Tamandua tetradactyla: one gene and its partner. The protein of the gene in region 1 interacts with the protein of each later gene in a pairwise test. Links are inferred from orthologs where the notes say so. Each region holds a gene or a part of one and is shown on either strand. Other genes may lie near its edges.

Evidence for each region.
Region 2: the proteins of DMPK (region 1) and HSPB2 interact in a two-hybrid assay, tested with the Homo sapiens proteins (2 studies listed by BioGRID). The link is inferred for Tamandua tetradactyla from reciprocal best matches to the Homo sapiens genes DMPK and HSPB2.

Annotation. Positions count from the first base shown.
Region 1 is NC_135342.1:15,270,766-15,278,119, reverse strand, and holds the start of DMPK (myotonin-protein kinase), read right to left. Parts: upstream 3,066-7,354; 5' UTR 1,812-3,065; coding exon 1,633-1,811; intron 1-1,632. Other genes in the region: DMWD (dystrophia myotonica WD repeat-containing protein), read right to left, coding at 3,591-3,638, 3,899-3,973, 4,746-5,990. UniProt on the Homo sapiens protein: Non-receptor serine/threonine protein kinase which is necessary for the maintenance of skeletal muscle structure and function.
Region 2 is NC_135334.1:29,336,750-29,344,664, forward strand, and holds the start of HSPB2 (heat shock protein beta-2), read right to left. Parts: upstream 3,084-7,915; 5' UTR 2,827-3,083; intron 2,498-2,826; exon of another isoform or gene 2,432-2,497; 5' UTR 2,381-2,431; coding exon 2,287-2,380; intron 2,078-2,286; exon of another isoform or gene 1,999-2,077; intron 1,793-1,998; coding exon 1,338-1,792; 3' UTR 1-1,337. Other genes in the region: CRYAB (alpha-crystallin B chain), read left to right, coding at 3,465-3,665, 4,754-4,876, 6,113-6,316. UniProt on the Homo sapiens protein: May regulate the kinase DMPK.

The DNA.
Region 1 (7,354 bases):
GTGCTCCAGGGCTCCAGGCACTGGTAGGAGGGCCGGCCAGTCCTCTCCACAAATCCAGGAAGGGCCTTGTATTACCCCGTATTTACAGATGGGGAAACCAAAGTCAAGCAGCTTGGAATGTTAAACAGGGTGGCAGGGAAGGCGATAAACCAGGGATGGAGGCCCCGAGACTCAGAGGCAATGGGAAGGGGAGGCCTGGGCTCCCAGAAGCCAGCAGGCTAAGGGATGCCCGATGCAGGGAGGGATGGGAGACAGGGGATATAGGGTGCGCTCTGGAGCGGAGAGATGGCCCCCGCGGGGTTCAGGGAGAATGGGCCGGCAGGGAAGCAGCAGCCAGGGCCCAGGGACGGGGGAGGGAGGAGAGAGCCAAGACATTGAGCCCTTTTAAGGCAGCGGGAACCCAGGCCCTCTCCCCCTTCGCTGGGCGGAGGAGGGGCCGCAGGATTCGGGCTCAGGCCACAAAAGGAGCGCTCCTTACAGGAGAGCCAGACCCCCGCCCCCACCCTAGGCCTCAGTTTACCCTGCCAGGCAAGCTTAGTCCTCTGCAAAAGGGAGGCTAGGAGAGTAACTAAGGGCTCGGGGGAGGTAGGGGGGGTTCTTCCAGAGGCTGAATGGCCCAACCCCAGGCTACCCCCTGTGAAATGGGAGGAGGGAGAGAAGCGGGGCTTGGGATGGAAGGGGACAGATACGGGTGAGGGGAGAGTGACAGGAAACAGAAAGACAATGACAGAAAGACTATGACCTACACAGACCCAAATCGAGCCACTGCAGGGCAAACAGATGGGGGGACACAGTGGCAGGATGTTACACAGGCAGAGATTAGAGTGACCTTGTGCCCTGGGCTTGGGCTTGGGGTGGGGGTGGGGGGTGGGGGTGCCGGGGGGGCAGCCAAATTGAAGCATCTCCTCTCCGGACCCGGCCTGCCTGGAAAGACCTTGCAAGAATGGGCTTTGTGGGGAGACCTGGAAGGTTGGGGGTCCTCAACTAGGAGGATTAAAGGGGTCAAGAATTAGTGGAAAACGGGATGGCTCAGGCAGGCTAGCAGAGATCAGAATGTTGGAAAACATGGAACCGACAGAAGTGGCCCTCCTCAATCTGGGGACAGAGGGGTTGCTGGGTGGCGCCTGTCTGCAGAGCTGGTTCTTCCCCAGGGCCAGCCTGAGTCACCGCACCCTCCCAGGGCCTGGGCACCTGTTGGGGCAGCTGGAGAGGCTGACGCCGAACACCTGCCAGATGGCCGCGCCCCTGGCAGCTGCCCCACACTGTCCCTTCCGCCTGTCCGTGCTCTGGGAAACCACGATGGAGGGCCATAGGACCCATTTTGGAGATGGGGCTCCCAGCTTAGCCTTGGGTAGGGGTAAAGGCCCCATGGGAGGCTGTGCCCAGCCCAGCCCTCCATGGCTCCTGATGCTGCCAAGCCATGGTTCCGTGTCATGGCTGCCCCGGCCTCTGCTGACCCTGCCCTGCCAGGGGTATGGGGAAGGGCACAGCACCCCAAGACCCATGTCCAGGCTCTAGGGCCATGCATTGGACAATTTGCCTTTGTCCGTCCTGTCCCCCAACAGCCAGACCCCTGCACCCAACCCATTTCCTGTCTCTGACCCTGGGAGGCCCAGGCAGACAGCCACTCACCCCACTGCAAGAAGTCGGCCACGTACTTGTCCTGGGCCAGGTCGGAGGTGCCCAGCTCCTGGTGGACGCCCAGAAGAAGGTCGAGCAGGGGCTCCAGCCCCAGGAAGCCGGGGTCCAGCACCAGCTGCTGGAGCCGCCGCAGCCGCACCTCGGCTGACATGTCGGGCAGGCAGCACCATGACCCCCTCCCCGGGCTGGGGGCTCGGGCTCCTCCCGTCACCGGGACGTCAGCCCCTGTCCAGGCCCCAGGGCCCCTGCCGCATGTCTGCCTGTCCCTGGCTGTCCCCTAGGCCTCTCTGGCCACTTCTCTCTGCTGCCGAGACCTCCTCCTCTTCTCTCCACCCCCTCGGTCCAGCCCCCCTCCCGCCTCCCAGCCTTAACCCCTCACAAGCCAGCCCCCCACAACTCCCTCCTTCCAAGGCCCCTCTGAACCCTTCAGTTTAATGGGGGAGGGGGGAATCACCATTCTTACACCCTTCCCCCAATAAAAAGGGGAGAGGAAAACTACAGGTGTGACAGATGCCAAAGATGAGCCCGCCCATTCTCTAGAGGGGACCAATTGAGGTCCAGAGTGATCCAGGCAACCCCCCCATACACAAACACAAACCCCAGGCAGGGGTGGAGGGAGGGGGGCTGAGGCCAAAGAAGGGGGGCTGGAGGCCAGGGCAGCTTCTCGGGTGACTCAGCCATAGATTCCAACTTTGGGACAGTTAAATTTAGCCCTCCGGGACTTGGCTTCACACCGCCTGCAGGCGGTCAGGAAGGGGTGGTAAGGTGAGAAATGGGCGGGGAGGCCCTCAGGAGCCAGAACCAGGAGTAACCCACTGGCCAAAACCTGGGGGAGGTGGGTGGGGCAGCAAAGCCCTTCCCAAGCAACGGAGACCCCAAAATAGATCCTTGGACCCTGGCCGGAGAGCTGCATTCCTGCCCGGGCTGGGATTAGAAACAGAAACATTTCGGGGGGTGGAGGGCGGAGCGGGAAGACACAGCTCCCTGCAGCTAGCGAACCAGTCAAGAGGGGGTCCTACTCCTTCTTCCCAGGGGCAGACTGTTCTGGAGAGGAACTCACGGACTCTAGCTGGCTCCGGCCAGGGTGGGCTGGGGGCACAGGGGGGAAGACTGGTCCTCAGGGCAGCTCAGATCTTTAGTCCAAGCCATGCCTGAGGAACCCCCAACTGGACAGGCCCTTTAAAAAATCTGGAATGTTTCATTCGGACAGTTTGGGCACTTGAACTCATTAAAAACTCCCGCCAAGGGCTCTGGAGAGGGGTTCTGGAAGGTGTGCCCCTGCTCAGGACCACCAGCACGGAGTCACCAGCGGTGGCCTCAGCAAGCCCCACCCCCGCCTCAGGTTTTCCCGGCAACGCTAAGGACGGAGGCAGGGCCTTAAGGTGCATGCATCCCAGGAGGCGCAGCACACCCGCCCCCTCCACACCCCCATGAAGGGAACATACACGCTGGGCCCGCGGCTGTGAAAACAGGGGACTTTAGTATAAATAAGAGGTCCTGACGGTGGGGAGGGCCCCGAGGGGCTTCCATAATTTAACACTCTTGGGGAAGCACAGACAATAGCGAAGGAGGGGCGGGGCCAGGGGAGGGGCGGACCCCCTGCCCTGTCCATGGCTGAGGCGCACTGCAGAGCTGGACTCCCATGGGTCAGGGGACATCCTCACCCAGGAGCGACCAGTCACATGCTGGGGACAGGGATGAGGGTAACACTGACGTTTCAGAGGGGGTCATTGTACTTGGCAGTGGGCAGGGACAAGGCTGAGGCCACGCAGGTCACTACACACCCCCAGTGTCTAGGCCAGCAGAGGGACCCTCTGACCCCCAAGTTTGTGCAGGGAAAAGGGGGCGGTGTGGTCCATCGTCATGGTTAGTCTTGTTAATACGTTGCTCGGTGAGCTCAGTGGGGAGGGTGACGGCCAGGCAGTGGGGGCATAGGCCCGTCCATAGTCTCACACCACCGTGCCACTCGGGGAGTTGCCTGGTTGGGAGGAGATGCCCTGGGAAGATGAGGGGAGAGGGGAGGGTTAGGGACCACCCAGGGCGCCACCAGATCCGCGCCCCACCGCCCCCGGCCTCTGTGCTGCTCTAGGCTTCCTGGCTAGCAGTTGGTACTTCATACTAATAAAGTCCTCAGCTGATCCCGTGCAGAACAGATGGGGTTAGGATGGGATGGGGAGGTGAGGGGGGCAACTGAGGTCTCTTTCTGACTTGGACGGTGCTGAATTCTGGGGGAGAAAAATCTCAGGGGCAGTCCTACCTCTACCACTGCCTTGCTGGGTGACCTGGGCCAACCTCCTTCCCCTGTCTGGGCCTCAGCCTCCTCATCTGTGAACTAGGGAGATAGAGGAGGGGGTTCTTTCAGGGCTCCCAAAGGCCCCGGTATTCCAACACCCTTGCCTCTGATACTCTGAAACTGTGACTCAGGACTCTTAAGATTCTAAAACCATTCTTCCAAGGAGCAAAGCTGCAGCCCTAGACTTGCCAGCCTGGAAGCTGAGCCCAAATGCTGAGGTGCTGCACTCCCGAATTTCCAAGGTGTCAAGCCCTGTGCTTCACCTGCCATGATCTTCCCAAACCCCACAGCCACCCTAGGAGGTGGGTGCACCCCTGCCAGCCATCTCACAGGCTCTCTCCTATAAGATGACGGGTGGAGGTCAGAGAGGGGCAGTGACTGCCCTGAGACCAAATGAGCAGGACTGTTATCTGGGAGCCATGGCCTGGGCCTCCAGCAACTGGCTGGGATGCCACATGGTAGCCGGGCCACAGACTCAGAACTGCCCACAGATGTGTTTAGGTTGGCCCGCAGTATTTTCAAAAGTTTCACCATTTAAAAACCAATTTGCCCTAGAAATACAGACTGCTTCTAGTCACAAGCAGCCAGACCCAGCCATGCTGCCTTCCCCCACCCCCACCCCCACCCCCACCCCACTTCTATACTTGACCTCACCTCCCGGAACTCATGTCCCAGGGTTCTAGAAACCCGTCCTCTAACACTGCAGAGGCTTTGTCCTCCGACTCTGAGCTTTCATCCCCCTGGGCTGAAGCTGTGCTGGTGACAAAGGCCTGGGCCAAGGGTCCTGCGAGGTCCCGGGGGAGCCACTCACCGCCTTGCCGGGCCGGGCCCAGGTGCAGATGAGGCCCTCCTGGCAGGCAGTGATGATGCAGTCCTCAAGGAAAAGGAGGACAGTGAGGCGCTCCTGGGCGATCTTCTTGCACACCAGGGGCTCCAGCAGCGGCACCTCGTGGATGCGCGGGCACAGCGCCGTGCCCAGGACCTTGGCCGGGTCCAGCCGGCTGCGGGGGGCAGGGCCACTGGGCTTGTCGCCGCTGCTCCCGCCGCCACCCCGGCTGATGTTGCCCAGGCTGTGGTAGCGCTTGTGCTCTTTCTCTGCCCCCCGGTCCCGCCGCTCCTGCAGTGTGAGGGTGGCGAAGCGGCCAATGCTGAAAGGGGTACCTGGCTCTGTCACGGCACCCGGGCCGCCCCCCTTGCCACCACCTGCCGGGTGTGGGAGGCTGTTGGAGCGGGACAGCGAGCGGGGCAGGGGGCCAGGGCCTGGCTCTCCACCCCGTGAGCTGCTGGCAGCTGGGGGCGTGGTGCTGGGGGTGCCAGGGAGGGTGTGGGTACGGGCCAGGGGCGGGTGCGGGTAAAGCACGTCTTCAGTGAGGTCCCACAGGCAGAACTGCGTGTCCTGGCCGGCCGAGCCAAAGCGATAGGTGATGGAGCCGGCCTTAGGCAGTGGGGACACTGGGGCGCCCCCGGCCTCAGGCTCCTCCTCCTCCTCACCGCTTCGCTCCCCATCACCAGCAGAGGCCGCTGCCTCCTCAGCCCGCGTGGTGTAGGGGTCGAAGGCCACCGCGTTGACCCAGGACTTGTGGCCATGGCCACGGGCCACCACACGGCCCTCGGTGAAGGACCACACGGTGACCAGGTCGTCCTCGCCACCGGTCACCACATAGCGCCCGTCAGGGCTCCAGCACACACAGAGCAGGCCCCCAAAGTAGCTCTTCATGAGCCCGCGCAGCAGCATGGAGTCGAAGTGGAAGACGCGCAGGCAGCCATCCTGGCTGACGCAGGCCAGGTGCCGGCCGTCGGGGGAGAAGGCAAACTCGTTCAGCGGCCCCTCCCCAACCGCCCACTTGGCCAGGGGGTTGCGGGGTGCCTTGCTCTTGGCCGCGTAGACTGCGAAGCCCTCTCCCTGCTTTAGCAGGCTGTACTGGGGTGGGGCCGAGACGCACGGGTGGCTGACGTTGTATAGGTACAGGTGGCCGCTGGCATGTGAGGCCAGGAACAGGCTTTCCGACTCAGGCAGCCACTTCAGATAGGTCACCTTGGTCTTGTCGATCAGCCGCTGCCAGGGAAGACAGGTTGGGGCTGGGAGGTAGCTACAAGCCCCCCACAGCCCTCCTCCTCCCCAGTCTCCCCTGAAGCAGGGCCCAGGGCCGAGAACACCCACCCTCTTCGTGAAGTCCCCAAACTGAAGGGAAACAGACAGATGCTGGGTCATGGGAAGACAGGTGAACAAGGACAGCTTGTCAAGTGGCCACTGGAACTCTGTGGAGTCCCATCTTTGGAGAGGGGATGGTTTTGTCCTTCCAGAGAATGCCCTCTATCTATCTAACCCTCTCTACCATTTCATCATGTCAGGATTAAGGCAGAACATTTATTCATAGGCTATCACTTCACAAAGGAAGGGAACTTTGTCTATCTGGCTCACAGTTCCATACTCAGCACACAAAACAGGGTACGCAAAAGCTGGCTCGAAAATATTTCCTGGATGAACGAGTGGCAACTCCATCCTTCCAGCTGCTCAGACCAAAAACCTTCCAGGCATCCTTGCTCCTTTTTCCTCACCACTCTCATCCAATCTATCAATAAATTCTGTGTGCTCAGCCTTCAAAACGACCTGGAATCTGACCTCTTCTCCCACCCAGACCCCAGCCACCATCCATCCTGCAGAGGCTTCCCAAGTGGCCTTCAGGTCTCCACATGAAGGACTGCTCTCTGCAGAGCTACCAAGATTTCTGGTTAAAATGCAGGTCAGCACGCGTCACTGTCCCACTCGGCACACTCTTGGAGGCTTTGGCTACCAGGTTCCAGAGAGACTTAAGCTCTGATCCCTTTAAACATCCAATGGATATAATGAATTATCTTCTAGCCTGGCACCTACAACATAATTAGTTGACTCCTATCCTTATAAAAACTGAGAAAACAGTCACTCAAATCATTTCTGGGCTCTAGGGTTCACATGAGGAACCTCAGTTGAAGAGGCTTCTCCAAAGGCTTCTAACTATGAGTAAAAGCCAAAGTCCTTTCCACGACCTTCCAGATCCTACCTGATTTGGTCCCTCTCCATTATTTCTCAGAGTCCATCTATCACTCTCCTATTCCCCTCAAACACTACTCCAGCCACTTGGCCTTTGTATTATCGTGCTTCGGGGCTTTTATACGAGGTGTTCCCTTTCCCCAGGATGACTTTCCTCAGCTCCTCAGATCTTTATTTCAGCCTCACCTCCTAGTGAGGCCTTTCTTGACCACCCTATTTAAAAGCTGCCAGGCACTCCCATGCCCCTTCCTGGCTGAGTTTCCTACATGGCACTCACCCCTTTCTGTCACACAGCAGATAGGAACTTATTTGGTAACTGCTTAACACCCTCATGATGCTAGACTGAAAGCTCTGTTAAGGCAGGGACTATTGTCTGTTTTGTTCACTGG
Region 2 (7,915 bases), on another chromosome or scaffold:
GTGTATTTATTACTTGGGGTAATGTAAATATTTGTTGAATGAATGAATTAAAAAAAAGAATCAATAAATAGTTATTTCTCTGAGGCAAACCTTTAATCAATCATTGAATTTCTCAAGTGAGAAGTATATCTGTAAGTATATTCATGAACGCATGAATGGATCTCAAGAGTTCTGTGAACCTATTCAAATTGTAGGTCAAATTTTGAGTATCTGTATTTTTCTGGGAAAAGGGTATGTATTTACAATTTTTGTCAGGTTTTCAAAAGGGTCTGTAACCCAGAGGTTAAGAACCACCACTTTAATGGAAGAATTTCAGGTATCCACCAGAGTTTGGTAAAGGAAAGTTCTTCTAGACACTCCCCAAATCATATCCATGTATGCTCTCTTCATTACAGAGAATTACTGAGGGGTTAGACCCTTAGGATTTCCTGAATACCCAATACCCTTAGTTGTAGGACTCCAAGGAGATATTCCCTGGGAGTCACCACTATCACAGTAATGGCTCTAGATTCCCTACATTTTGACTTGGATTGAATGGGATGATGCAGTGTTGCCTCTCTTTTGAAATGTTCCAAGTTTGGGGACCAAGGCTTTCTCTTATGGGCCTCCTCTGTGCAAAAAGTGGGAAGACCTTAGGATTTGGTGAAATGGTAGAGGCTGTGTGTCTGTGCCCCTGTGTATGTACTGGCAGTCCCTCGGAATCAGAAGCCATTTTTAGTAGACAGATCTTAGTATGGAAAAACAAAGTATTCATCCCAGGGCTTTCCGCAACTCTCTCTAGCCAGTCACTGTTTTCCTAACCCCTGCCCAAAAAGGGCCAGACAGTCTGGAGACCCCTAGTTTTTGTGTCTCTAATCACCAGCTCAGACAGTGCCCTCTGGGCTGTTTGGATGGCATATCCTTTTTCGGTCCCAGGATCACAATCTCTTTTGTTGCATTGTGAGAAAACTGTGGCTAGGAATTTGATCTAGAGCCAGTGCCAGCTTGCGGCTATGATCTCAGCATCCAAGTGTGAGCTCAGGGTGCTGTTGTATTGGGTACATCTATCTGAAGAGCTTTATGTCTAGTTAGCTATAACTTCCTCCCTCCCTGCCCATCCCATCCTTCAGGCTACACAATAGGGAGCAGCACAGACAAGGCCCTGAGATTTGGGTTTATTCAGCTCCACCCAGATCTAAGCCAAAGGCTATGACATGTCCCAAGGGACCACACCATACATTGTGGACAGTGCACCAATCCCTTCCCCCAAGGATGCTGCTACCTCTGGGGTTGTGGGCAGCTGTTCCTATCACCACAGGAGGTAGAAAGGGATCTGCTAGGTGCTGAGTCTGCAGCAATCAGGACTCCACTCTGGCCGCCTCCTCCTCGTCCTCTGGATCAGGAGGCGCAGGGAGCAGGGAGATGTAGACCTCATTGACCTCCGTGTCCAAATGTCTGCCACCCCGAGGTGCCTCCAGGTTAAGGATGCCATCGTGGGATAGAGCAGCCCGGACCCGCCAGGGGTCGACATCAGCAGGCAGGACATAGGTGCGGCAGAACTCTCGTGACACGAAGCCGTGGCGGTCCAGGCGCTGGGGGTGCCGGGCAGACACCTCCAGAAGGTTGTCCACAGTCCTCACGGTCACCTCATCTGGGGTAAAGTGGCTCACATCCAGAAATGCCTGGAACTTGCCCTCACTGAGCCTAAGCTCAGAGGCCCCTGCCCTGCTGCCCTCCCCAGCTCGGCTGGCCCGTGGCCGGACATAATAGCCATGGTAGAGGGTGGGCGTCAGGATCTCTTCTGGCAGGAGGCCTGAGGGGCACAGAGAGAGAAGAGAAGAGTCAGAATGAGGGAGGAGAGGTGGGGATGGGGATGGGGGGTGAATGAGAGGAGACTAGGAGATGAGGAGGGACTGGAGGACCAGAAGAGGAGTTAAATAGGGAGAGGAAGGGAGAGGGACACAGTGAGTAGGTGGAGGAAGAGGAAGTAGCCAGAGAGAGGGGACTGACAAAATAAATGAGATAGGGGTGGGGAGGGCAAACCAAACTAGGACACGGTGGATAGAAGGGGGACAAAGAGAAGATATCAGCGTTGCAGGTATCATGTCTTTTCTGAGGTCAGGAGGAAGGAGAAAGAGCCCTACTGGGGGTGGGGGGAGAGCGGGTAGAGCAGTCTGGGATGGAAGATGGCTCGCCCCAAGAGTTCAGTTAAGCCCTTAGTGGGGTGGAGGCCAGTAAAGTTGGGAGGTCTGCCCAGAATTTCAGTAGGTGGGGGTGGGAGGCAAGGGGGCGGCGTCTGTGCCATACCTTCCCCGAAGCGCTGCTCACTCAGGCGGCTCGGGTTGGCAAATTCGTACTCGGCGGTGGCCGGGTGGGCATGTGGCACCGAGCGACCCGACATGGCTGCAGATGCGTTGGCGGCGCTGGTCGGAGGTGCAGCCCCTCCAGCTGTCTGAAGAGCCAAGGCTCGGTCGGAGGTGGGGGCGGGGTCTACAACACCCAAAATAGTGCCGAGCCTCTGAGGGAGGGACGGGAAGGGGGGCCCTGAGTGGGAGCAACGAGTGTGTGACTAGTGCCTCCCGGACCCCCAGTCCCCTCCCCCCCGCACACCCTTTAGCTGTCGCAGGGTGCCTGAGAGGACAGCTGGGGGTCCTGGCTCAGGAGTGGGCTGGGGGAGGGGAGGACAAGTTGCTGCGTAGCTGAGACCCTCGCCAACAGTCTGCACGTTTTCCACACTACCCATTCTCCTCCCCAGTCGCAGGCACGGTGCGCCGTACTTCAGACAGCACCCCTAGATTTAATGTTTTACGAGGCTTGTAGGTTGAAAGATGCAAGAAACTTTTCTACCTTTTCCGTAGTGTCAGTGCGGGGCTGGGTGTGGGTGTCTTCCTCCCCAGATTAGTATTAGGGTCTTCTCCCGAAACCAGGGCAACCCAGGGCACCATGCAGATGCCTGGCACGGGCATGTTGGTGATCACTGCTCTTCTCCAGGGACCCACAAAGAGTTAATGTCCCTGGGGCTCAGCCTAGGAAGATTCCAGTGCCTGCCCAGGCCCAAGATAGTTGCTGGCCCAATGCCTCTGGCATGTGAGACTGGAGAGGAAAGGAGAGAGGAGGGGCACACCACTGCCTGCCTGACATTCTTGACACTGTCCCAGCTCCAGAGAACAGAATGAGGGGTGGGGAGTGGGGGTGCTGCTGTTAGGTGTGGACAGGAAAGCCAGTGAAACAAGACCAGGACAAGTCACTGGCCAGCTCAGACCTGTTTGTGTTTCTCTTTTCTTAGCTCAGTGAGTATTGGTTATGTGTCACACTGCCAAATCCCCATCACAAGTCTCCATGAACGGGTGGCGAGCTAGGATAATAAAACCCCTGACATCACCATTCCAGAAGCTTCACAAGACTGTGTATATAAAGGGGCTGGCCGTAGCTGAGGCTGAAGGAACGGACCAGCCAGCTGAGTCTTCACACTCAACCTAGTCACCATGGACATCGCCATCCACCATCCCTGGATCCGACGCCCCTTTTTTCCTTTCCACTCCCCCAGCCGCCTCTTCGACCAGTTCTTCGGAGAGCACCTGTTGGAATCAGATCTCTTTCCAACTTCTACTTCTCTGAGCCCCTTCTACCTTCGGCCACCCTCATTTCTGCGGGCACCCAGCTGGATTGATACTGGGCTCTCAGAGGTGAGTCCCCTCTCCCTGCCAGAACAGGAGAGTTCTTCCTAGAATATTCTGGAAACTTCTCCACTTTCCTCTTCCTCCTCTGTGCTTAAACTGGATTATATTTATATCCTAAGTATCCAATAGTAAAGAAAGATGAGGCTACTAACATCTCCCTCCCCCAGTTACCTGTTTCTATATGATGTTCTTCTGCATCCTATTTATTAGTGTACAATCTTTCACAATCTTTATGCATGATAAAAATCATCCTTTGTCCCCTAACTTCTAAGCAGGATGTCTCTTCTCTGGCTTGGTTCATAATGATGTGAAAGGAGAGAGCTGCCTTCAGACTCCTTTGCTGACCTCTTCTAATACCTCATTGTCCTGACTAGGAGAGAGTCCTACCTCGTCTTGAGCTTTTCATGCCCACTGGGTGGAGCTGGAGACAACAGCTATTATTTTCTTCCATTTTATTCTCTCTTCTGTGGTTTTCCTGACTTCTCAAGGGCTGAGGCAGGGCATTGGCCCAGGTCCAAGCCTTATGAGGAAGAGGCCCCCCACTTGTCCTAGGAGGGTCAGAGAAGGATGAACAGATAGGGTTGACAAAAGCTGCCACAGATAATACCTTGGTTTAAAAATAATCAAGTGTGAGTGAACAGGAGCTGAGTGGGCAAGGGCTTTGGAAGGACAAGCAAGACCAGCAGAACATTCCAGATTGAGTGGGTGGGAAACTTGGCAGATTTATGAACAAGAAAAAGGGGCCTTTGTCTCACAAACAAATGACAAGGCCAGGCATTGGGGTCAGAGAGACAGCTGAAACCATGCAGGCCATTCTTGTGACTGATTGTGTTCCCCTGGGTGGCTCTGTCTTCTCCCTTGTCCTGGTAAATAAAGTTTGAGCCTGATGACCAAGTGACCAAGTCGTATGCTTTGAGTACCACTGTGGTGACTCCTTAAGCCAGAAAGCCATGTTTATTTATTAAAAAAGGGATTTTTAGCAGAAAAGAGGCGGTTAAAATAGCCGGACAGAAAGCAATTCTTTAGAATGATGAGACTGCACCAGTCTTTCTACCATCTTTTCCATTATCCCCTCCCCACTTTGCTATTTCTAGATGCGCCTGGAGAAGGACAGGTTCTCTGTCAACCTGGATGTGAAGCACTTCTCCCCAGAGGAACTCAAAGTCAAGGTTCTGGGAGATGTGATTGAGGTGCATGGCAAACATGAAGAGCGCCAGGTATGTAGCTTGTTTTCTCTTCTGCTCATTCATTCAGTGCCTACTATATGCCAGGCAATGCCATCAACCTCTGAGGCTGGCAACATTCCAATCCGAAGCCGTAAGGGTCTAGACCAGGGTCACAAGTCAGTAGCTAGAAGACTAACTTGTTTGTTTTGATTTGACTGCCTTGAATGGATGAGATGGATTGTTTACTTTCATTTAAGCCAGTGGCTCTCGACCTTGGCCATATTAGAATCACCAGGGGAATTTTCAAAAATCCTAATGCCTGGGTGCATTCCATACCAATTAAATCAGAATATTTACAGGTGAGACCCTTTAATATTTGTTAAAGCTCCCTCGATAATTCTAATGTACAATCAATGCTGAAAACCACTGATTTAGGCATAGTGCTTGTCAGAGACTTGGTTGTTTTACATAATTACATTAATCTCACGCACCTGAAGGCATATGAGATTGATGCCTTGTATAGATGTTCAGTAATCCATTTCTCTTTAGGCCCATCTTTATGCTGAAATACTTGGTTTGCTTAAATTTCAGAACCCATGTGGAAATAGTTTATCGAGAGCCTGTTTGGATAAATGCTTGAGATTTAGCGGGTATAAGGGTTAGGACCAAGTATTCTTTGCAGGATTCTGAAAAATGAAGAGCATCTCATTTTCTGGGAGAGTTTTTTTAAATGACTATGTGTCTCACTATTAATGATAACTCAGATATTTGCGCTTCAAACAGAACAGATAGAAGTTTTCAGGCTAGTTCAGTTTTGATCATACAATTTAAGTTTGGGGCATGGTCTCCTTGAATGGAGTCACTTTTTTAACAGCAGCTCTATTGGTCTGGAACATTCTGAGATACTCCTGAAGAGTCAGGATATTTTTTGGCTTTCTTGGAGACTCAGATCCTCAATGCCAGTGTGAGATTCCAAATCTTGTACGTCTAGCAAACATTGATTTAAACCTTTGGAAAACCCCTAGCCCCTAAACTACTTGCTTCAGAGTTTGGCAAACTCTGAAATTTGGGGCTGTTTCAGACTTCTCAGACTGCTGTTGGTAGGAGTGACTACCTAGGCAACTTCATCTTAGCCCTAAATCTGAAATGAACAACTATTTAGCTTTCTCTCATCTCATTGCTATGAAATTTGCTTCAACTTAAGGGGAATGAGGATGTCTGGTTTCCAGGCAAGTGGTGTTTTTCCTGTTCTTATTTCTCTGCCTCTTCCTTGTTCCCTTGGATTAGGATGAGCATGGTTTTATCTCCCGGGAGTTCCACAGGAAATACCGGATTCCAGCTGATGTGGACCCTGTCTCCATTACTTCATCCCTTTCATCTGATGGAGTCCTTACTGTGAACGGACCAAGGAAACAAGTCTCTGGCTCTGAGCGCACCATTCCCATTACCCGTGAAGAGAAGCCCGCTGTCACTGCAGCCCCCAAGAAGTAGATGCCCTTTCTCTAATTGAATTTTTTTTAAATAAGAAAGGTTCCCCACCAATGAATGAAAATCCTGTGACTAGAGATGAAGCTTATTAATGCTAAGGGCAGGCCCAATTTATTAAGCTAATAAAATATCATTCAGCAACAGATAACTGCCTCATGTTTGAATTTTCGGTATTTTAGAAATAAATGTACAATTACCAGCAAGTGAATTTAATCATTGCATTATGATTTAAGGGACTCCAGGGATTTTAGAGTCAGAATGACTGGGTGTACCACTTACTAATGGTTACTTTTAGGCAAGTCATTTAACCTTTCTGGTCTTCAGGTTTTCCATTTATAGTATGGGGACTTATTTGTACAAAGTTGTTGTAAGGAATAAATTAAGGAGAAAAAATAGGTAAAACCCTTGGCAGAGTTCAAGGAATGTCGGTTCCTCTCTCTCCTCCCTCTTTGATTTTACCCTCAGTTCCAACAACCTGAGCAAATCTGAAGGAACTCTGGATAACAGTATATAAAAGACATTCCTGCATCTTTGAGATGATGAAAAGACATGGCACCTCCAACCTTATTTGATGTTTTTCAACTGATTCCTTTAGTTGATTCCCAAGGGCAATAACTAAGACTTGGGTGATTATTGCTTAACAAGCCTTAGGTCTGGCTTCTAAATTATCCAGCAAACACCTAATGAACTAAGACTGAGATATATCCAATTAACCAAGAAAAAATACAATTAATAATTCATCAATAAGTGTTTATATTATTTACTTAAGACCCGCCCCCCCCCCCCCCCAAAAAAAAAAAAACCACCACCATTTCAATGGGTGTTTGAATGTGTAGATCCAGTGCTCTGGAGTAGAAGCTAGGGCAGTGGATATAATCTAGAGCTAGCTTATATAAGGCCAACAATACAAAGACAGACATTAAGGGATTGGTAGAGAAAAATGAGCACATAAGAGACTGGAAAGTGCCCAGCAAGACAGGAGAAAAACTTGTTTAGCACAATGTCATAGAAAATAAAGGCGTGAAGTTTCAAGAAGGAAAAGGTGAGTGCTTAAGTGGATTATCAAATGCAGAATATAAAAGTCAAATAGTATGTGAGCTGAAGTGTTCATTAGATTTAGCCAAACCTACTCATACATAAATATAGCTCCGGGAAAGTGGTGGGTTAAAGAACAAATGGGGGACAGACATTTCAACAAGTTAGAGCAATGGTTTGTATCAAGTTTGATACAACACTCTGCTCCAAGCACATTGTAATGGTAGAATTTTTTTTGTTTGTTTTCTTTTCTAGGTAGCATTTTTTTTAAGTAGGAAAAAATGATGATGATATGGGCAAAATATTTAAGTAAATAAAAGTAAACTTCAGAGAAATGGACATATCAGACTTTAGGTCTAGAAGCAAGCAGTGGTAGCTGATGAATTTGACATAACCCTGCCCCCTCTAGATAACCAGGTTCATCAGTTTTAATATTTTGCTTATCTATCTGTCTATCATCTTCTGAACACTTAAGAACAAGTTGCACACATCATCCTCCTTGCACACATAACACTTCCATGTACATTGCCTATAAACAATGATATATTCACTTACATAAATCACTTA